Drosophila melanogaster: one gene and its partners. The protein of the gene in region 2 purifies or fractionates together with the protein of the main gene of each other region. This does not show direct contact. Each region holds a gene or a part of one and is shown on either strand. Other genes may lie near its edges.

The links. The genes of interacting proteins can lie anywhere in the genome.
Region 1: the proteins of Rhp (region 2) and DppIII purify together in Drosophila melanogaster (affinity purification with mass spectrometry, with the first as the bait; one large-scale study listed by BioGRID). This does not show direct contact.
Region 3: the proteins of Rhp (region 2) and CG32536 purify together in Drosophila melanogaster (affinity purification with mass spectrometry, with the first as the bait; one large-scale study listed by BioGRID). This does not show direct contact.

Annotation. Positions count from the first base shown.
Region 1 is NT_033777.3:8,341,854-8,349,541, forward strand, and holds DppIII (dipeptidyl aminopeptidase III), read left to right. Parts: upstream 1-2,546; 5' UTR 2,547-2,630; intron 2,631-2,955; 5' UTR 2,956-3,012; coding exon 3,013-3,170; intron 3,171-3,239; coding exon 3,240-3,546; intron 3,547-3,605; coding exon 3,606-5,501; 3' UTR 5,502-5,612; downstream 5,613-7,688. Other genes in the region: PNKP (polynucleotide kinase 3'-phosphatase), read right to left, coding at 18-1,589; COX7AL (cytochrome c oxidase subunit 7A-like), read left to right, coding at 1,920-1,946, 2,002-2,295; CG7352 (uncharacterized protein), read left to right, coding at 5,911-6,771, 6,826-7,365. UniProt on the Drosophila melanogaster protein: Degrades neuropeptide proctolin (RYLPT) by cleavage between Tyr and Leu residues.
Region 2 is NC_004354.4:15,785,721-15,795,003, forward strand, and holds Rhp (rhophilin), read left to right. Parts: upstream 1-3,176; 5' UTR 3,177-3,392; intron 3,393-4,526; 5' UTR 4,527-4,569; coding exon 4,570-4,668; intron 4,669-5,022; coding exon 5,023-5,139; intron 5,140-5,258; coding exon 5,259-5,386; intron 5,387-5,522; coding exon 5,523-5,676; intron 5,677-5,741; coding exon 5,742-6,182; intron 6,183-6,267; coding exon 6,268-6,424; intron 6,425-6,489; coding exon 6,490-6,737; intron 6,738-6,797; coding exon 6,798-6,927; intron 6,928-6,991; coding exon 6,992-7,317; intron 7,318-7,371; coding exon 7,372-7,524; intron 7,525-7,588; coding exon 7,589-7,792; 3' UTR 7,793-7,912; downstream 7,913-9,283. Other genes in the region: mRpS30 (mitochondrial ribosomal protein S30), read left to right, coding at 452-909, 1,074-2,289; sordd1 (suppression of retinal degeneration disease 1 upon overexpression 1), read right to left, coding at 8,381-8,481, 8,547-8,713, 8,777-9,283.
Region 3 is NC_004354.4:19,272,928-19,279,337, reverse strand, and holds CG32536 (uncharacterized protein), read left to right. Parts: upstream 1-2,439; 5' UTR 2,440-2,513; coding exon 2,514-2,861; exon of another isoform or gene 2,862-3,120; intron 3,121-3,809; coding exon 3,810-3,938; intron 3,939-3,998; coding exon 3,999-4,181; 3' UTR 4,182-4,334; downstream 4,335-6,410. Other genes in the region: CG8028 (uncharacterized protein), read left to right, coding at 1-364, 1,361-1,505, 1,574-1,694, 1,774-2,035; CG32537 (uncharacterized protein), read left to right, coding at 4,510-5,553.

The DNA.
Region 1 (7,688 bases), on a different chromosome or scaffold from region 2:
CAATTTATTTTACTTCCTTATTTCTCGACCAAGTACATTTTGTATAGCTTTTCCTGCTTTTCGTCCGCAAAATTGGGCTTAAAGTTCACCTTGTGTATGGATATAAATCCTTCGTCTAGGGCGGGTTCCTGGTACTTTTTCTTCATCATGTTAAATACCATGTCCTTGATCTTGGTGCGCGCGGAGTCTGATAGCTCTCGGAAAGCTATATTGTGCTTCACTTGGGCGACGGGCACATTCATCACAAGGCAGCGGCATGGAATCATCTTTTCGCTGGCCAACTGCAAGAATTTTTTTCGAGAAGCTGCATCCACATTGGTGTTATCCACCACACATGATTGGCCCGAGTCCAGGAACCGTTTACAGGCAGTCAGGCAGTTTTGAGTGCTACCCAATGTATCTGCATTGACGATTTTGTAGCCCCGCGGTTGAAAAAAGCTGGAACAAAAGTGGCTCTTTCCGGATCCTGGCAGACCCACCATGATGACCATTTCGCAGGGGTGGTCATCGAGGGTCAAGTCATCCGGATCAAGCAGAGATACTTGGTCCTGAACGCTAGTGGGTTCAAAGTCCGGCTTATTCCACTGCTCCACTTGTTTGCCCAGGAAATGAACCTCTGGAGTGTAGAATGAAATTCCCACGTTGGCTGCAAAAAGTCTGTCTACTAAAGAGTGATCTTTGCGCCGCTTGGTGGCTCCCTTGCCCGTCTCCGGTCTTCCGGCTGCATCGCCGACGAAGAAACATCGATCTTCCTGAATCTCAACGCCATCATTCATTTCACTCTTTAAGTGCTGCCACATTCCCGTCAAAGGTTTGCGATAAAATCCATCACCTATGGCTATAAATACTTGAATTGGAACTCCCAGTTTAGCCACAATATGCTTGATCTTGACCTTAAAGTCATCTAGGTTGATTTTTCCACGAGCAATGCCTCCTTGGTTGGTGAAGAGACAGATTTTAAACCCATCCTTGTGGAGATTCTTTAGTTTCTCCGGCACTTCGGGAAATATGATCTGCCAGTCGTCGGTGTTTTTGGGGAACACCAGTCCCGATTTTGTTTTTATAATGGTGCCGTCCATGTCGTAGCCAGCTATCTTTTCAGAACCTTTAACGCCGACGCTGGTAAAGATAACCAGCTTACCATTGCCAGATGAGTCCCACCTCTCGGATTTCTCTGACGGTGATAGTGTTGTGGACAACGGCTCAGCTTTCTCCTTGTCATACTCCGGTGGAGGGTTAAAGACGACCTCGAACTGATGCCTGCCGTAAACGATCTCCACCAAGTCTCCGTGCTTCAGCTCGCGTTCCCCGTTCTGCATAAGCATCAGACCATTGACGCCGCAGGGATTAACTCCCAGGACTTTAAGTGAAACTACAGCCTTTTTTAGGTCCACTTGCAGTTGAATCTGTCGCTTCGAGCACTTGGAATCTCGGATGCCGGTCTCCCGGCTGCGTCCCACGAAATTCTCCCCAGCGGTCAGGTGTATAGAATGGTGTTCCGGCTCAGTGGGTTTAAGGGTGCATATCCTGGCGGCCACATCCTTGCCAGCTTTTCCAACGGATCGGTTTAGGTATTTAGCCATAGACATTTTGGTTAATCAATAAATAAGAGCATTGCTTAATATTGACACCAAAATTCACTAGAGAGCGAATAGTGTGACCTAATTTGGCATTAAAAGAAGAAGAGTGGCACACAGACATATGTACTTTGAAATGAAAGTGGTTGTTTTTACCTATTTAAATTGAAAAATAAATTACTCCATATAAAAATCGGAGCCTAGGCTCTGTGTGAAACCCTTCCAGAAATCTTAAATCCATCAAAGATGGCTTATAGTAATAGTGTCACTTAAACATTATTCGATAGTTAAAGGCAGACAAAATTTTGTTCCGAATACTCCAGAAAGTTTCAGGAAACGTAAATGCAAAGAAACTGTTTCTCTTTGCGCGTAAGTTACCACCATTCCATACAAAACATTAATTTAATTCGTTCTTTCCGATCAGCCCTTCCTTCGGGGAGTCGGTGATGTGGGTGCAGTTTGTAAGCCCATTCGTGAATTTCGCAACTCGGCTGCTTTGAAATATGCTGCTGCTGCAGCTGCAGCTCCGAAGACACGTCCTGGAAAAGTTCCTCCAAAAATGGTCAAATTGAGGAAGCAATTTCAGGCGGACAATGATTTGCCGATTTTTCTAAAAGGCGGCAGTATGGATAACATATTATACAGACTCACCTGGGTGCTCTGCTTCCTCGGCATAGGTGGCGATGTATGGTTGTGGCTTGGCTATATCATTGCCTAAAATCAACAGAGATCATGCAAGCAAGCCCACAAAACACAAATACTCTGTACACGAATGCAAATACCAATTGTAACGACACATACATTAGTTAACTAGTAACGTTTCTGTACATAGGTAGTTCAAATACGGAAAATCAATTATATAATAATAATAATGTGCTTTACTTCAAAGTGTTCATTGGAGTTTTTAAATTATGCCGCCAATATTTTGCCATTCACATATCATATAACACATATGTGGTGTTATATCGACTCACAAAGCAGCTGGTCACACTGCTTGAACAACTTGCACTTTTGTCGGCATTTCTTAACTGCATATTTTCTCACTTTTTAAAGGTAAGTACGCACGAAATTACTTATTGATTATCTTTTCCACTTAAAACACGAATGCCCGGTGGGTTTTTGTTTGTTTTGCGATTGACTAACCACGTAGTTCTTAAACATTCACATTTTCCTTGGGCTCTGCCAGTTCTTCACGTTTTCGGGCTCCATTTTAGCCATAGTTTTGTTTTCTATATTCTTGTGGTAAAACGCCGCTTAACTGCCACATCTGCAGTTTAGCCGGCTTGCTGGAGATAAAATTGCATTATCAAGTTTTCATGTGTTCCCCGAGTTATTTGGCTTTTCATCCAAATTAAAGTAGCCTTTTCACATTTTCCAGTTGGGCGACAAGTAATGTAAAGTCTTCAAATAGAATACTCTCAAAAAATTCCCAGTAATGTTTTGGCTAAGAGGGCTACAGAGATCCCGGCAGCAACTGAACAGGCTGTGTCATTTCCGTAGTCGTCTAAATTACGGGACCAGTCCCAGTATTCGCTCAGTCCAACCGTCAATCTCCAGAAGTTTGGGATTTTGTAGCTCCCTCGTTCGTTACAGGTATTTGCCAGGTGTTATCTAAAGCCCATGTATATAATCGGTCCGGTTCGCCATATGATATCTTTGCAGCTGCAGCACCAACCTTCCCCAACCCGCTGAGATGGCCAGTAAAACCGCGCACTTCGTCCTGCCTAACACGCAGCCCATTGCCGATTTGGACTGCAAGAGTGCCTTCGAGAATCTCACCGAGAAGGAGAAGCTCTACGCCCACCACTTCAGCCAGGCCTCCTGGGACGGCGGACTCATTGCCTTGATCCAGTCCAGTCCGGAGGCGCCGCTCATCTTCTCCCTGCTGCACCGCATTTTCCTAGCCGAAAAGATTCCTGTTCTTAGGGCGAAAGCCCTGGAGGCGGGAGTGTCTGCTGATGATTTTACGGTATGGCAGAGGAGAGTTTCATATTCTCGAAAATAAATATTAATTTTGATCACTTTCAGGCCTTCCTAGTGTACGCCTGCGGTGTGTTCGCCAACGCGGGCAACTACAAGGGTATGGGCGACAGCAAGATCGTTCCCAATCTCTCAGAAAAGCAATTTGAGACTATAGTAAAGGCATCCGCTGCTTACAGCGATGAGCCGCGCGTAGGCAAGATCTTCGAGAAGGTCAAGAATCTGATTTATGCGCTCGAGTCGCGTAACGAGATCCTGGGCTTTGCTCCCGACGGAATCACCACCTACTGGTCGGATAACTGCACCAAGGAGGACTCCGAGATCGTGAACGCTTGGCTGACCTCAAAGCGTATCGAACCGTACATGTGCCGGACCTTCAAGATAGTTGAAAATGGTCAAACCGTCTACGATGTAAAGCTGGGCTCCGTGGCGGAGTCCACGCAGGACGGCATCACACTTCCGCTGGAAGAGTATAATGGCAACAAGTTTAGGGTGACACGCGGTGATTACCAGAAGCTGCTTCAGCGCGTCAACCAGCATCTGCTGCAGGCCCAGAAATACGCAGCCAATGAAAACGAGTCCAAGATGATCGAGCACTATGTCCGATCCTTTGAACAGGGCTCGCTGGACGAGCACAAGAACGGATCGCGTTGGTGGATCAAGGACAAGGGACCTGTCATCGAGACCTACATTGGTTTCATTGAGACATACAGGGATCCTGCTGGAGGTCGGGCTGAATTCGAGGGCTTCGTGGCCATGGTGAACAAGGAGAGCTCGGCCAAATTCTCCGAGCTGGTGAACCGCGCCGAGAAACTAATAGAGTACCTGCCCTGGACGGAGCCTTACGAGAAGGACTCTTACCTGAAGCCAGACTTCACATCCCTGGATGTCCTCACATTTGCCGGCAGCGGAGTACCAGCGGGCATCAATATTCCCAATTACGACGAAATCCGCCAGGATGAAGGCTTCAAGAACGTCTCGCTGGGCAATGTGCTGGCCAACATCAACCGCAAGGATCCCATTCCTTTCCTCACCGAGGAGGATCAAACTCTGATGAAAGAGTACAAGGTGAAGGCTTTTGAGGTGCAAGTGGGCCTCCATGAACTCCTAGGCCATGGTAGTGGCAAGCTATTCCGCATCGACGAAAATGGTGTGTACAACTTTGACAAGGAGAACACTAAGAACCTGGTCACCGGTGAACCCATCACCAAGTGGTATCTTCCTGGAGAAACTTACGACACCAAGTTCGGAGCAATTGGTTCCTCGTACGAGGAATGCCGCGCCGAGGCGGTGGGCTTGTATCTCTCCCTGCAGCGTGACATCCTGGAGATCTTTGGCTTCAAGGACAAAGCCGAGCAGGACAACATCATCTATGTCAACTGGCTGAGTCTCATCTGGAACGGCATGGGTGTGGCTCTGGAAATGTTCAACCCGAAGTCCAAGCTGTGGCTCCAGGCGCACTCTCGCGCTCGTTTCGTGATCATGAAGGTGCTGCTGGAGGCAGGCGAAGGACTCGTTAAGGTCGAGGAAACCGAAAAGGGTAAAAACCTTTTGCTGACGGTGGATCGCAGCAAGATCGATACCGTGGGCAGGAAGGCGCTGGGCGATTTCCTGACCAAGCTGCAGGTGTACAAATCCACCGCCGACATCGAGGCAGCTTCCAAGATGTACGAACACTACTCGAAGGTCGACGAGAGCGGATCGCATCCGTGGGCCAAGTGGCGGGATATCTGCCTGGCGCACAAGAAGCCGCGTATGATTCTCGTCCAGGCCAACACGGCGATCGGCCAGGACCAAAAGGTCCAGCTGAAGACCTACGAGCCCACCCACGAGGGGTACATCCAGTCATGGGTGGAGCGCTACCCCAACACTGACATCGACGATCTTCTGGAGAGCATCGTGGAGAAGGACAAGAAGTATTTCCCGACTGCCTTCAACAACTGAGAACATTTCGCATTTAACATTTTCGCCTTCATTATCAATTCAATTTGTTAACTATGATTTTGAAAAAAAATATATAAAAATATATATAGTCATCTAATGACCAACAATTTTAAATTTTAAATTGCTTTTATAGTAAAACTTTCGTAGTGAATGGTGATTTTAAGATCGTTTTTGCCATTCACCGAAAATATTGACAAAGGACCTGAATTTAATTGCTTGTATGTACATACATATATTGCGACCAAATGTATATTGCTCATAATAGCTCCACAATTAAGAATGTAAATATAAAATCAAATACTACAATTTGTTCATTGAATGTTTTCATAGTAGCCAGTCGATAAATATTGGTTTTTTTTTTTTTATTTTGTTTCTCGTTTCCATTTCTGTTTGCATTGTTTTGACCACCATGGCAACCGGTAGAAATCGTGGTAACCACAAGGAAGGTGGCACTATCAACATCGGACAGCCGCTATTCCAGGTGCCTCATTCATTGCGCAAGGAGCACGACTTTTTCAGCTCACAGCTGTTCCGAAAATTGCAGTACGACCTGGAGGAGGTGAGCCGCAGCCAGGAGCTTTCCAAAGTGAGTCCCATAACCCGCGACTTCATCGAGGAGGCAGCGATGACGCAGGAAATGCAAGATCTTAAGCGTGCGGAGTTTGTGGAGAGGAAACGTCGCCAGCAATTGCGGCGGGATTGCGAGGAACTGCGCGACTTGGCGGAGCAGCTGCGCCTAGCCGCCATTTCCAGGGATATAGCCGAGAATTTGGAGGAGAAAAAACGTCGTCGACAGCTAGACATCAAATTGGAAGCCGCGGAAGTGTCCCAAGAGCGCTGTCTGCTGGAGGTCAGGCAACGTGAGAAGGAAGTGGCTCTTAAGGAGGAACAACGCCGCCTTAGGGAGTCCTTGGCTGAACAAATGGAGGAGAACCGCCGACGGCGCCTGCAAGAGCACGCTCAGGTGATGAATGACCGGGAGCTGAGCCTTCTGATGCAGAAGCAAATCCAGGAAGAGGATCGAGCCCAGGAGCTGGAGGCGCAGAGAAAAAAACTACAAAAGCGACAGGACATGCTGCGGTCCATCAAGGAGAACCAGGAACTCAGAGAATGGCAGCGAGCTCAATACAACCAGGAGTTGAGTGACTTAGTCCAGAAGCAAAGTGACATGGAGCGCAGGAAACTCCAGCTGGAGGCTGAACGCCAGGAGATTCAACGCAAAAAACAAGAAATCAGCATTCGTTTGGGCCAGCAAGTCCTAGAAATCGAAGTAAGTCTTGAAGCGGTTTTTCGATTCAATCAATAAAGCTAACTCTTATTGCAGAACAAAAAACGGCATCGCGACAATCTGCTGCTGGATCTGTTGGAGGCGGAGTACACGGCCAAGAGTGACGAGCGCTATCGCCAACAGATGCAGCAGGAGCAGATGTCTCGCCAGCGCACCAGACAGGAGTTGGATCGCTATCGACAGGAGGTGAAGCATCGTAAGATGGCCGAAATGCAGATGAAGCGGGCGGAGATGGCTACGCGGCAGGAGGAGGCGCCGGATACAATCAACCAGAATTCCGAAAAGCAACTGGATGAATATCGCAGACGCCGGGCCCATGGAGCCTCCTTGCTTGCTATGATTGAGGATAATCACCGGAAGCGGGCGGAGGCCACCGCTGAAAATGTTCAGTACTTTGACATGAAGGCCAAGATCGATGCCGAGCAAGAGGAACGCATCAAACAGGAGCGTTTGGCCATGTTGAGCCAGGTTCCTTCCTCCGTGCTTCGATATCTACCAAAGCATGTCCTTAAGTCTACGGATAGGGAGCATTTCTGCCTAATTGACGCTCAGGCACGGGGCGGTGGCGATTCCTAGTCAGTGGCATAGTTCCAAATTGTAATTCTAAGACGGTCAAGTTTATTTTTGGCTTCCAAAAATAAATTATTTAAAATTAAGCGCCGTTGTGTCTACGTGACGTGTATCATTTAGGCTAGCGAAGATGCCAGACCGTCGCCTGTGCTGCCAGTTCGTTGTTTTGCTCGATTGGAAACCTCGATTGAAAGGATATTCTCACAGAATGCGCATCTGCTGTTTCAATTTGGTTTAATATTATTTTGAAAGCTCGGCCTAATAACCGCTTCATAATTGCCGCGAAAGTGTTTATGCAGTCCAATCAAAAATACTATAAATGTTATCTG
Region 2 (9,283 bases):
TTTGATCTCTGTTGATTTAAGTTTACAATTGTGATTTTTAAGGCATGTGCCTTTAAGCCATATGCCATTATTTCAAGGGGAAAATATACCAAATGAAACAAGACTATTTTTTAGCTTTTTCTAGACAGCTTAAAAAATATTACGATGATTTATAACTGATTTCAGAAATAAAAAGATTTGAAACATAAGCAAGTTAAATTTTGTACCCCTACACGTTAAATAGTAAAGGACTATGATTCATTATGAATTATTATTGAACTGCATAAATAGAAATTATACCATTACTTTCACTGGCATCGCAAAACTTTCCGTCGCTACCTTGGCGCAACCTATTCTGAATCCAGCGTGCGGTCACACTGCAGCAATGACATAACCTAGTTATTGTCAAAAAACTGAAGTCAATTCTATTCCTTCGAAAACATAAATCGTAACTTGCGTTAGGTTCGACGGCATGTTGAAGCTTAACCGTGTTCGCCATCTGCGAACGACGTACAAGCGCTGTTTGTCCGGCCAGTCGCAGCTGCAGCTGAATAGTACGGACGCAGAGCCGGCATATCCGGAGATTCAGGATCTGTCCTTCAAGGCGCGCAAGCAGAAGGATGCGGCCAACTGGCACGAGGAAATCCGGCAGGTGCCGACGGTGGAGGAGAAGATGATCAAGATCAATATGCCCCGCTATTACGGCTTCAAGGTGGTCGACTTCAACGACTCGAAAATCCCCTACAATGCACTGCCGCTCACGCAACATTATACGCGCACAGTGCTCGAGGATTTGCCATCTGAAACGGATAAGAAGGCACAGGCTAAGGACTCCGAGCAGGAGCAGGAGCAGCCGAGCGTGGATGGTCTTTTCAAGGCGGCTCGCGGGGATGTTATTGATGCCCTCGAGTTTGCCCACGACTACTACAAGTGGGTACAACGAGGTCCGCTTTCAACGAACCAAGTTCTCCGGCGAGTTTGTGGACAGTAGTTGGTCCAACTCACTTAAGAACTCGGATTGGTTGGAGTGGTCCCAGTTACAAGTTCGACCGTCTGATATTAATGTATTCATTCTCCTCCATTACCAAGCGTAGGCATCTGGAAAAGCAACACAACTCTGCCGAATCGAACCCCGTTGAACGTGAGCGCATCCTAACGCAGATCATTGTAGAACAGCTGAACAGAGCTCTGCTGCAGTCGCTCAGCGAGGAGTACAAGCACCTGGATGAGCTCGATGTCGACTACAATCCACGCCACGAAGCGTTCTGGGCCGTTGGCGGCGTAGATCCTCCCAAGAACGTGCAGAAATCGAAGAAGGGCCGGGAATGGCAAAAGGATATGGCAAACGAGAGCGTTGATCGGATGGTTCAGTATACGGGAGCGCCGTATCTTGCCCTACGCCATCGCAAGCAATTGACGCCGTGGAAAACGGAAGCGGAAAGCGAAAACCTCGAGCTGAGCAAACAGCTGCCCCGTTTCAAGCACGACCCGCGAACCCTCGGCTACAGCACCAAGCATCAGCACGCCACCAATGTGCCAGGCTATTGGCCCAAAGGAAATGAGAATAACTTCGGCCTGCTCTCATTTCAATCGCGTGCACACCTGCAGATCCGTCCGAAATCGTTCGGCGAGCAGGATCAGCTGGAGGCATTGCATTCGCTGGCGATTAAATCGTCATACGCCTGGCTTTTGGCCCAGGCGAACTACAATGGCTTCAACACCTACAACGAACTGACCTATCCCATGAACACTCAAACTGTGATCACGAACGGCAGGGAATGGAGCTTTTATGAGTATCAGCTTAATACGCTGCTGCTGCACGGCACAAACGTGGCGGAAAATCCCCGTGTCAACTTCTGTCGCGGTACAAAGCCACTTCCACTGTACGCCGAGATTTCGGCAAGCGGCAAGTGCGTTGATTTCAACGATAACGCACTGCGGCACCTGCTCAATTTCTATGCCAATGCGCCATCGATTCAGCGGAGCATTGGGGAGCAGCAGCCGTATGTTGCCTCCGACGTTTCCGCCTATGAGAACGCCGAACAGCGTGACTTTATCAATAAGACCTTCAAATATTTGGCATCAAACCGACCGCGACACTTGGAGCTGCCCGAAATCTACCTGTGGGAGAAGCTATACAAGATCGATAACAACAATCGTGCCATGGAGGCTAAGAGACGCTTCTTCGAGCTGGACATCAATCCTTGGCAGCGAACGCTGGACACACATGACAAGGAGTATGTTCCACGTGCGGTCCGACCAGACGTCCCTAAGAATAAGAACAGGTTCAAGAAGACGTACTACCCTTAAATGAATAAATATAAAACACTTCCTAAGGTTACACTTGTTAAAAATGCTGAATTTTTAATGTGAAATACTGGATTGCAGATTCGGAGCAACGAAACGGTGTACAAAGTTTCTTTAAACTTTGATTAACTCAATTTTCCGCAAACTTTTGTCAGTATGTTAATGATTTTTAATATAAATATTTTGTTAAATTTCAATTTAAATTCTATGCCATACAAAGTATATATATTTATTAACTTTGTTATGCTTGTGGTTAAACACTTCTGTAAATTTATAAGCTAGTCTTTTTTATCTTAAATTCTTTCAAATAGATATGATTATACAAATACCTGGAATTTTGCCAATTATTAGTGCTGATGATGCTAAAACTTGCCAATGCAATGCTTCTTATCATTATTTAATTGTTTATGCAGCACATATTTATTCTAGATTCCATTGTTTATTTCATTTATCAGCACTGCAAACATACCGAAGTTATCTCAAAAAGTGGGTAAAATGCGGTTACACTGCACCAGAACCATATTTTTCGAACGTAAAAAAGGTTTATAATGCTATAGTGTAGTTTAAATCTTTTTACCAAATCATATATTGTTTGAACATAATAGTGCACTAAGGTTTATATGATATTCCATATAAGTACACTTCAAACTCTTACTTAGTCTGGTAATATGTATGCATTAATTAATTACTTGATTATTTTATTATCCCATTTATTATAGTAGTTTTACATTTACGATAATAGCTTTATAGTCCACTACATCAAAGTTAGGATTGCTGAAAAAGTTACCACTTGTTGGTTATTTCGGTAACGTCCCAGCTAACCGTATGGTATGTTATAACGGCCGTGCGACGGTCACACTGGATCTGAATAGTTAGGCTCGAGTAAATAACCAGTTTGAGACTTTACGGTGGTTCGGAAACTCGTATCTGGCGCTTCGGTTGTCCAAAAAGGTAGAGCAGTAACCTGTTGCATATATATTTCTTTTTTTTTTGGTAATAGTGGAAAGTGTAGTGCAGACAAGTCGAACCCAACTGATATTGAGTCGAAATTCCGTTGGGCAAGTGCTGAAAAATCTTGAATATTGATCGTGGAGTATGTGGATACGGTGAGCATTTGTGGGCAAACAAGTGTATTTCTCGGTTATTTGCTTCTTTTTTTGTCGAGTCCATCGAGCTTATAAAGTTGTAAGGCGTGTAAATATGTGTATAATAATTATGCCATAACATACCAGTAGTACAAAAGTATGCTACTGATGATGTGGAACAAGCACGGATTATCATAAATATATGCCATGGACTCTCTGGAATGCCAGTGTAAAATAGTGAAACCAGTGGCCAACCACATATTTGTCTACATCTATATCTATGTCTATGTGTATATATATATATATATATCCATATCTATGTCTATTCCTCCCCCTCCGATCGCGAGCAATCCGATAAAACACTGTATTTATGCTTTGCATTCTGCGATCTCATGAATACGTGAAATCAACATCGAAATCTCCAGCCAACCGACGTGCTTGCATGTGTGTATAGTTTAGTTGAAACAAAAAGAGAATTAACGACAAAACAACCGAATGGCAGTTAATTCCTATTGTTTTCGAGCGGCCTGTCCCAGAAATACAGTTCGATCACAAGCGTCATATCTCGGTGTCCCAGAATTCCAGTTCTTGGCACACACTTTTTATAGATATGAACTGACTTTTATGATCTTGACATGTTTAAGTCTTCGTTTATGCTCAAACCCTTTAATATTCGGACACTTTGTAAGTCTCTAATGTTCTATTAAATAATGCCATTGCAATCCAATGTGTTTATTCACGATATCTCAAGTTGAGTTTGCCCTGGAGCAGTGCCATGACGGTTATAATATGTTGATGTTTGGCGCTGCTTAAATGGCTCGCTCGAATCGAAAACCGTTAAGGCGATTGATGAGTTTGACCTCCTAAAGCTAAAAAAGAAGAAGAAATGCGGTTCTATCTTTAGCTACTCATGTTGTGCATACATACGAAAAACGAGCAGCTCGTGTTATAATAGTTAGTTACACCATTCATAACGCGACAACAAGTGCTGCATGGATTTTCATGATCTTGGTCTTGTCTTGAAGGTCGGAAGTCTATTATAGAACTCTCTATATGCGGTGTGGTGAATAGTTCGGTGGGGGGGGGGGGAGGTTGTATTGTTATTATTTCATCATTTACCCACAAATTGAAAAGTAATCCAGTGTTTATTGGCAGTCCTTTTGGATCATAATCATTTCGGATTTCGGATCTTTGAACCATGGATGAAAAGGAACACGAATTGTCGACGAGGGTGGTGAAAAACGAGGAGAACGAGGATGACGAGAAGCTCAATGAGTTATCCTTTTGTTTTGTTCGGGTAAGTGTAGAATAGCAATCTTATTTATTTATGTTTTTGCGCACTTAGCGATTCGAAAAATGTCAAGTGGTATTATTCATGTATATTGTAAAAGTATTATTATTTTCCATTGCAATTGTTATCACCTAAAACGCCATAAATGATTGTATCACCCAAAAGCTTTGTTATGGAATATTTGATTTTGAACACTGAGTCATAACTTTAAGGGATCGCTATCATGGCTAATGACGTTCAGGAATCCGCCAAATATCTCCACAATATAGATTTAAATTCGTATCTATATATATATATATTTATATATATATATATATATTTAGATACAATCGATATAATCATATAGCATCCTGTTTCCAGGGTTCAGATCCACGAGCTGCCACTTGTCGTAGCAAACTCCAAAACAGGCGATGCAAATTAAACAAAGAAATAAATAAGGAACTCCGCCTTCGAGCTGGTGCCGAGAATCTATATAAGGTGCGTTACCTTACCTTCCGTTATCACTCTGAACATACATATGTATGTCCATGCCAAAACTAAATGCATATCTTTATGTATATATATATATATATATATATATATATATATATATTTAGGCCACATCGAATCGCAAACTGCGCGACACAGTTGCCTTGGAATTAAGCTTTGTCAACTCAAATCTGCAACTGCTGAAGGAGCAACTGGCCGAGTTGAATTCGTCGGTGGAAATCTATCAGAGCGAAAGGTGAGCTAATAAGCCCGCTCCTAGGATAAGAAACTGGGTGGGAAGACCCACCACAAGGTCTAACTTTCAAGGAAGCAGGCAGTTACAAGGCATTCCTTTGATGGTATTATAATAATAATCCTCTAATACTCTCTAGTCACAATGGAATTATGCCCATGATACCGCTGGGCCTGAAGGAAACCAAGGAGATCAATTTCATGGAACCCTTCTCCGACTTCATCCTGGAACACTACAGCGAGGAGCCCTCGATGTACATAGATGCCATAGCTGATATGACGGACACGAGACAGGTAATGCCTCGTACATATATAAGAATTTTATGCACATATAATCCAATGCGAAAAATTTCTAATAGGCATCCAAAACACCGTCACGAGATGCCCTGGGAGTGGCCCTACTTTTCCGCTACTACAACACGCTGTATTACGTGGAGCGTCGCTTCTTTCCGCCGGATCGTAACCTGGGCGTGTACTTCGAGTGGTACGACTCGCTCACGGGAGTTCCCTCGTGCCAGCGGACCATCGCGTTCGAGAAAGCCTGCACCCTGTTCAATCTGGGCGGCATATATACACAGATCGGCGCTCGACACGATCGCACGACGGAACGGGGTCTTGACTTGGCCGTGGATAGTTTTTTACGGGCCGCCGGGGTCTTTCGTCACATCTACGATACGTTCACGAATGCACCATCGATGGACCTGAAGCCACAGGTCCTGGACGTGCTCGTTTCCCTGATGCTTTCCCAGGCACGAGAATGCCTCTTTGAGAAGCTTCAGCTGCAGATCGAGGCGATGAGCGTGAGTTTCCGTCAGCATATATAGTATATAGTATATAGTATATAGTATGTAGTTACATAATTTTACCATCTATATAACCATACAGCACGATTGCCAGGCGTTTCGGGATCTGGCTGGCGAGGCTGCTCAAATATCGCACGAGTACAATGAGATGCACAAGAATATCCAGGCGAACGATACGCACACCTATCTTCCGGAATGCTGGGCCGGTCTAGTGCCAGTCAAGGCGGAACTCTACAAAGGTAGAATTGGTTATCACCTCGAAATGGGAATATTCATTCTAAAGTATGATTGTAAACGCCAACAGCATTCGCACATTTCTACAAGGCACGGAGCATAGATGCGACAGACGAGCTGAAGGCATCAAAGTCAAGTCAAAAGAACCAAGAATCCTTCATCGGCAATTCCCAGGAGGTGGAGCGCATCACCACAGCCGATTATGGAGCCAGCGATGAGGCGTCCACCTCCATTGCCAACAAACTGGCCCACTTAAAGGAGGCGCTGGCCAGTATCGAGGAAGCCCAGCGATTGCAGCGGATGTGTCGGTTCTTGAAGGTAAATATACTTCTTATATCCTATAGCCTAATAACCTAACCTTTAACTTTAATCTTTAAGAACAAGGCATCACTGACTGAAGTCATGAAGGAGGTGCACTCCAAATCGCAGGAGGAGCTCGAGAAGTTCAGACTGCAAGCTTCAGCCAAAAATATCGAAGATGGCGATCTTCTAGAGCGATCGGTAGAAGGTACATATATCATACTCAAGATAAGCCGATGTCTTCATGTACATACATGCATCCATATCCTCAGCATCTTCGAAGTTCACGTTATCCCTGACCGGACCCGACTTCACATCGCACAAGGTTAAGGATCCCTTCAAGCGCCTCGGCCCGATTGCAATATTCTCGGCGAGACGCCACTGGACAGCGCCCAGATGTGTGCGTCTCCAGAAAGGTTCCTCCCTGTATCACAGCGTGCCCAGCAATGACAACAAGTGCCCATTGGATAACGATGATGACGAGGAGCACGATGGTGGATACAATCTGTACAAGGAGGAGTTTGAGAACTTTGGCTTCCATGTGCGCGGCGATGCTCCGGTGATCATTGCCCACGTTGAGATTAATTCTTTGGCAGACGTAAGTAAATGCTACTTCCATCGATTCGTCGTATACTGTAGGCATTATTTTCAGCTTGGCGGCATCAAGGAGGGAGACTTCATAGTCGAGATAGCCGGCGTGGACGTGAAGTGGTACTCCCATCAGCAGGTGGTGCAGCTCATACAATCCTGCGGCTCTACACTCGAGCTGAGAGTGATAACGCCCATGGATCGCAACTACTTGAAGGTGCATTTTGTTTATTAATCATACGTAAAAAATCAGCAAACAAATTCACCTTGTTTACGCACAGCCATTGTCGTCGAAGGGCTCATTATCAACGCTATCGGCGGCCAGTTCATCGGGCATTTCATCCGGATTTCCCAGTCCCACAAGTATTGCGGCCAAGCCCAAGCTCCACCTGAAAACATCCTCTAGTTCGCGACCCGCTGGCAGCGTTTCATCCAGTTCGTGGAATCCGTTTCGGCGAACGCCTAGCTTAGCTAAAATATTTTAAGTAGCCATCAGTTTTATTTTGTGTTTTATTTTTTTGCTCTTAAGGCAATGGCCATTTCAAGTTAAAAAGAATGTTGTGCAGTTTAAGTTAAGCAATAAACTTAATGATTTTTTAAAAGCCCCTCTATTATACCCATAATTTATTTTATTCCTATTGATTCAATCGCTCCCAATCACCCATCGATAATAATCTACACGGAAAATGAATTGAAATAAATGTTTTTAATGTTTTATCGAATTTAAAATATATATTTATACAATTTTTGACATCTACATTTGAATTAAATCATTACGATCCAATGATTTCGAAATTTCAGTTTTTTATGCTGGAGTCGTAGGGTATCGCGGACTTTTTGAAATAGTTTGGGATCCAATCCACTTCTGTTTTGCGAATCCTCAAATTACAATTATAACCGAATGCTAACAATTTATGTTAATTAATCACACCAACGACTATTGCCCAACGAGTTTAAGAATATTGTTGATTTAACTGGAGGATACTGCTATATGATTACTTCGCACGCTTTCCATACACATTTGAACATAGGTTCTTCTTATCGGGGTGATGTCTTTATGCGTTCGCAGATTGCTATGCATAGAACAGCCACAATATCCACACAACGGCCAAATACGAAAACAGCTTGGACAGGGTCTGTTCATCCTCGTATTGCCTTGTTCCCCGATTAGCAGCTAAATACATGGGCAAATGTTATTTAATATCAATCTCAGAACTATTGAGATGGCATGTAACCTACCAGGTGGACGTGGTTCGCCAAAGTTGAGCGTAGATGTTATGAACCCGAAAGGAAAAGCTCCAATACCGAAAGACATGTGAAATCCGTCGCCGAATCCGAATCCAGGGAACCCGGGAACAGGATCTGGTTCTGTACGTTGTCCAGCGGGGCGTGGTGGAACTTTGTTACTGCAAAACACATATAAGTTGGGTTATTGAAAAATACTCATGTTGAAAGCGGTTCAAACCTACCGTGGATCTTCCTGGTGTGTACTATTTCTTCCGTACAGCGGTATGACCTTATCCTTATCAACGGCAGCCTTACAAACGGGACAGAGTTTGCGATTGGGACGCGTCAGGAGCCACTGATGCAGGCACGGCCAGCAGAACAGATGGCCGCACATGCTGACCACAGCATCCTTGGCGGTGTCCAGGCATATGTTGCACTCGTAGAGTGAGTCGTCTGCGGTATGTTCCTTCTCCTTGTCCTTTTCGTTGGCTTTTGTGTCCGTATCGGTGCCGCCGAATGGATAGCCACCCTTCAGATCGGCCTTATTGCCACCAGATAGATAGTCTCCAGTAAAGGAATACGAAGTGTTGGACTTCTTCAGTTCCGATGCCGTCGAATTGGTTGGAATCGAGGTACCCAGCGGGCGCAATTGACTTGTAGATGACTCCTCAGCCAAGGGTTCTGTGATATCCCGAGTCCAGGCTATCTTGTCGTAGCTCACGTTGTTGGACAAAGTCGATGAGGACGAC
Region 3 (6,410 bases), 3.5 Mb from region 2:
AGCGCGAAAGCTCTCCCACGCCGAGGAGCAAATGCTGAAGGTTCTGTCCAGTCGGGCCTCGAGCATCACCAGCCTGGGCAATTGGTCCGGACCCGTGGTGGTCAGTGACGCCTCGCCCCAGATGATGCACAGCCTGCAGACCTCACGGCGTCCGAGCACGATTGCCGGTGCATCAGGTGCAGTAGCTCCAGCCCACGCTACCAAAAAGAGCTGGGTGCGCACCATCGTCGACTTCCTCGATCTCACGCTGCTGAAGAAGCCCATTTTCGTTAACATCGTGCTGGGCATCACCTTTGCCCTCTACTCCGACATCACCTTCTTCACCATGCAGCCAGTCTACCTATTTGAGCTGGGATACAGCAGGGTGAGTCATTACCACAATATCCACAGTTAAGGGCTGGAGCAGTAGGCTTACCGTAGTTTACACTAAACTTGCTAGCTCTATTGAAAGAAATGTAGATGTGGTGGGTTGATTGAAAAATTACATAAAAATTGTATGCATATATGTTAGCAAAGTAGAATAGACACCATATTTATGTGTAATTAACATAAATTTTCGCAATCTTTCCATATGTACTTTTTACTTTTCGTATCCCTAATCATATCCCTAATCTTGATAACCTTATTCAAAATTTCTTTGAGAAACCAGTTCAAACTGAATTGAAATTATATCACGTGGTATAGATCGTATATCTAAAGTCACCTTGAACAATCTCTAAAGCAGTCGACTTGCTGCTTGTCAAGCAGTTTACTACTTGCCAAGCAATATCTACGATGCTTGCATATAATCATATCTTGCAAAGTAAGGGGTATCTAATAGTCGCGGAACCCGACACCCGTTGCTGATTTAATTGAATTTTTGTTCTTGTGAATTATATACAAATAGATTTCTTTTAGGTATCACAAAATGCCAAAATTTACTTGCGAAAACGCAGTTTCAATAATAATTACTAACTTTTAACGCACACCAAACTTAACACTTTGAGCGATCATATAAGCAACTGATAAATCTGAAATCGATAACAAAAATTAAGTTATATGAGATTTAGAAGCAACTTAAAAGAATAAAAAACGTTCACAAAAAAAGGCAGAAACGAACGCGACGCCATTTTGAATTATTCGAATTCACTTTGTCCGCTTTCGCCGTTAAAAAACGGCTAATCGGAAACAGTATTTTACAGATTAAAAAAAAAAAATTAAAAACCTTGTAAAAGAAAAACATAAAAATAACATAAGCTTACCGTAAGAATATATAAACGATTTCTAAGTGGTTTTCCCAGTCTGATTATTGCGATTACCAGGTTATTTCCAGTTCTTTCAGTAACTTCTACATCCCATAAATAATATTGTTTTTTTTCAGCCCGACACGGCCACCATTATCGCCATTGGAGCGGCCGCAGACTTGGCATCTCGTATTTTCCTGGCCATCACCGCCGTGTGCATCCAGGTTCCTTCGAGATACATTTATTTGGCCGGAGCCGTTTTCACCGTCTTTGCGAGATTCGGTAGGCGAACCCTTCCTTGGGCTCCAAGAACTCCCTTCCTCCCACTAATCTCACTCATTTTCCCACAGCCTTCAACGGAATCACACAGTTTGTGGGCATGGCCTGCATCACGGCGGTCATTGGATTTCTGCGCACCTGGCTCCACGTTCCACTGCCTCTGGTCTTTGCCGACTACTTGCCCAAGGAAAGGTGGGTTCTTTTGGCAAGCTTATAGCATTTATCACAAAATTATAATATATATTCCTCATATATTTCCATCTCGTTTAAGGTTCGCCACTGGCTATGGCCTTTTCATGTTCATCCAAGGCAATGCCATGTTCCTCATCGGTCCCATTGTTGGGTTTATTCGGGACAAGACCAGGGATTACATTTTCGTCTTTCACATCCTAAACGGCTTCATGATCCTGTGCGCCGCTCCTTGGGTCCTCGAAGTGCTGATCGTCAAGTTTCGGAGGCGTAACAAAATCGAACGCAACAACGTTGATCACGAGGATGTTGATAACCAGGGACGTAGTGCAATGGTCCAATAAAAAAAACTCTACCACCCCCCCCCCCCCTTCCTTTTTTTTTAACAAAACATATCGTGAATTATTGAGGTAATTTAGGTACAATTACGAGAAGTATTAAGCAAATAAAACCAAAACATGTTTTTAGATGGGAAATTAAATTGTCAAAAGTATCATTTGCGATAAAGAAAAAAACAGCTTGTTCTTAAAATGGAAATTTGATAATGAAACATATATATTTAATATTTAATATAATAGCTTGGAAAAATGAATGTGATACAGTATTTTTCAAAAAAGGAAAAAACATAAATTCAAAAATCACAGTTAAACTGTTTAATACTTAACGGTAATGTCACAGTTTTCGGTATTTACAAATAGAGAAGTCGGTAGCTTAGTACAACCATTTGGTATTCGCCGCTGTCCACGTGGCGGTCACACTAACGGGGTCCAAGAAACTGAAATTTAGTAAATAATATAGAATAGGATAGTTAACCAGGTGACAATGCTGCAGCAAATCAAGATGCTGGTGCTGGGCATCATCACGCTGTGCCGGCGTGCCTTGTGCTGCTTCTCCAGGCGCCGCAAGCTCAGCCACAGCGGCTCCGCCACCGGATCCGCCGACCAACTGCAAGCGGTCAACGTGATCGTGGAGCGAGGCGACTTCTCCGCCACCGGCGCCACCTCCGCTGGCCAGGCCGGCGGTGGCAGGACAGCGGGGGCGCGCGAGCGGGACTGGAACTCCTGGGACGACAGTCCGCGCACCGTGGAGGAGCACATCGAGCAGTACCGCCAGCGAATGGCCCAGCCACCCACTCCGCCCAAGGAGGAACCCGAACCGGACTTCTTCAGTGTGAGTTGGTACTCAGGCAATGGGCGCGGATTACGCAGATTGCGCCGCTTGCACGGCCCATAGTCGTAGCCCAATTGTAGGGATATTCACGCTCGCTGATGGTGGGATAGTGGGCTATGTTGGGGCTAAATGGCGACATCCCCACCTGTACACGTATCTAGGTGACTTCGGCGTGTTTACCCTATACCCTATCAACTGCACAAGTTTGTATGTGGGCCATAATCACGTCATAAAGATTAGCAGCCATAGAAAACGACAGGTATAAAAATCTAGAAAGAAATCATTTTCGAAACTATTCACAACCATTTATTTCAAATTACGCTTAATTTCTAGTTGTGTTTAACTAAATATTTGTGGAATATTTAAAAGGTTTACTTAAAAAATATGAATATTTAGCTTATTACTGTGATAATTTGTTAATATTTCAATAGTTTTTTAGAAATTTCAAAAATATGATTTTATGAGTCCACAACATTTGAACCAGGAATACTTAAAGAGTGTACTTAAACGCATTATTTGTTAATAGATACTTGCAGATTTGACAAATGCAAATGTCAAAATATTTATCCTATGATTTTTAAAGCTATAAAATATAGAAAACTTGCATAGTAAACTAAAAAGTGAGTGCTTACAACGCTGAATAATATTTGTTAATGAACAGCCGTTTTTAGTTTGCTAATTGTTCATATTGAGGTATCTGTTTTATGAACAAAAACTCCATATTATTTCTACGCAACAGGCATTGATTTAAGTAAAAAATAAAAAACATGAAGAACCATCCAGCTAAATAAGTTAGTTAATACCTACAAAAGTAAAAACAAGCAAATAAAAAAATTGTGAATCACAATGCATATATTCTTTATATGACTATATATAGAATATATAAGTATTTATAATATCTGTGTTTCATATCCTCAACGATTTGGCTAAAATGTAACCTTCTTTTAGGAGCTGACGCCCACCATCAAGCCGCAGATGAAGTTCTACCTGGAGGATCCATCCACGAGTGCGGCGACCAGCCAACAAAGTGACTTTTCAAGACTGCAGGCCCAGGACTTGGTGCCAATTAGCGTAAATGTGAGCCAGTTATAGCCCGAATGGAATGCATGAAACGAACTAATGTTTCTTACTCGGCAGGCCGATCTCGAGGACTGGGTGGATGATAATGCCGGCGGCTGGGAGGAGCTGGACACCTCCCAGACCAAGCACATTCTGCGTGAGAAGCGTCGTGAGTTGCGCCATCAGCGACAGCCGCCCGTCCGCCCGGCCCCGCCCACTGTGGGCGCTCAGCGACTGACCGCCGGACAGCGAGCGGCGTAGTTGTAGCTGCACCAGCCCCTAGCCAACCTCACCAACCTCACCAGCCTCACCCACTCTGACCATTCCACAACCGACCACCTGCATTCTGTTTCCCCTTTCTTTTGTTCGATTTAGTTGATTGGCTACACGAAATAAATCTTGCCTTTCACTCGCACTTCCCTCCTCGCGGATCAGTTGGGCCACACTTCCTGATGGCTCTGCGGTTTGGACGCGCTCCATTGGACCCGCTTCCATCTGCAGTGAAGTGAAGTGGCGTGCAGTCGAGTCAGGCCGAGTGTCGAGTCCATAAAAGCGACGGCAGGCGACGGAAGTCGCAGATTTCTATGCGATGCTGTTGCCGGAGCTGCTGCTACTCGGCTTGGCCGTCTCCCTGGCGGACAGCTACGACCGAAGCGTCAACTACTGGGAGGCCTTTGCGCCCGGCAAGCTGCTCCAGCGCCTGGACGCTCTCACCGTCACGGATGTGGACCAATCGAAGGTGGTCAAACTGCCGCAGTTGATGCAGCCCATCCTGCCAGCCAACGAAGCGCAGGCCAAGGTGGATGAGGACGTGGACGTGGATGTTGAGACGGATGCAGAGGCGGCGGCCGTTGACGATGTGGACAGCCTTAGTGCGGAGACCAGCCACGAGGGCTACTCCGGCGAGGACAACTACGAGCGCAACTACGAGCAGTTCGTCAAGGAGTACTTCGATCGGGCTGCCGACGACGATGACCACGACGAAGGCGAAGGCCTGGTGGAGGAGGAGGAGGAGGAGACCCAGGCGGAGGCCACCAATGTCAGGGATCAGCGCTGCCGGCAGGTCAAACGGAAGGATGGCCAGCTGTGCGAGATCTGTCGCCAGTTGAAGAACAACGAGGTGTCCGAAACGTGCAGCTACTCGCACGACGACCAACCGCAGCAGTACGCCTATGGCAGCGGCAGCCAGTACAAGCGTTACCGCGACGATCCCGCACAGAAGGCGGATCAGGAGCAGGCCGAGCCGGTGGCGCCCAGCAGCCTGTGCGTGCGCCGCCAGCAGAAGAACAGCGTCTGCTACGAGTGCAAGGACAGCAAGGGCCAGAAGATCGAACGCTGCTACGATGTGCAGGCCCGCAAGGCCAAGACCCGAAAGACGAAGGCCTCCTCCACCCGTCATCCGTCCAGCTCCGTTCACAAACGTAAGCCGCGTTCCCAGCAGTCGCAGCAGTCGGAGCAGGAGCAGCGCATCTACAAGCGCACCATTAGCTACAGCTATGCCCAGGGCACGGATCAGCAGGGGCCGCGGTCGGAGCAGCCGGCCGGCGGGACAACGGAGCTCCCAGTGCCACGCCAGCGTCGCCGGCGGCTGGTGAAGATTACGCGTCGGCGCGGACCGGCTAAAGTGCAATAAAAATCGTGTTTTCATTCGCATGACTCAATGTATACCCCACTCGTTAGCTTAGATTGATTACCACACACATTTTTTTTTTTTGTTACAATAAATCATTCTGTAAGAACACATTGCATACTTGTGGGCTAATCAGCTGGAAGAGATTAAGATCACGATTAGCTAGAAAAAGGTTTTTTATCCCAAAAATCTTCGAATATCAGTAGGTGAAGTTCCGAAATATGAGGCACTCTTGTGGATTTTTATACACATCTACTATTAGCATAGGCATTTCGAAATATTTGCTTGCTTTTGAGTTTGTTTTAAGCCGGAGCTCAAGATTCATTATAAAATTTGATATGAAGTGTAATTGTGGCAATGGCAAAGTATGGAACAATTGTAAGACATATGAACAACAAGGATATATGCAAAATAAAACCATGATTCAATGTTAATAACTAACAAGCAAGTGAGACCCGATGAATTCATTTCAATTGAACAAGAAAACTTGCACAAAAGTCGTTTATTGAGGGGAGCGCTCTCGTCGATTTCCCAACCATTTCATTTATTTGTAAAAACCACAAACATCATTACATTGGCATTAAACTGGATGCGACAATTTGCAATTGAAACGAACAACATTTACTTAACAATAATTTTGGAGCTGCCGATGCGAAAGGGAAAGGGACAGCAGGCGAGCGGCGAAAGAGACGGCTATAGCAGCTGGTGATAAATGCAGCTTTGGCTTTGGGAATCGCTAACGTTAACTATTCGGATTCGACATTCGACGAAATGAAATCGAAGTGTCTTCAATTTGAAACCTCAACTCAAACACACACACAACTTGAACACTTAGCACATGAAAAGATTTTGAAACCGAC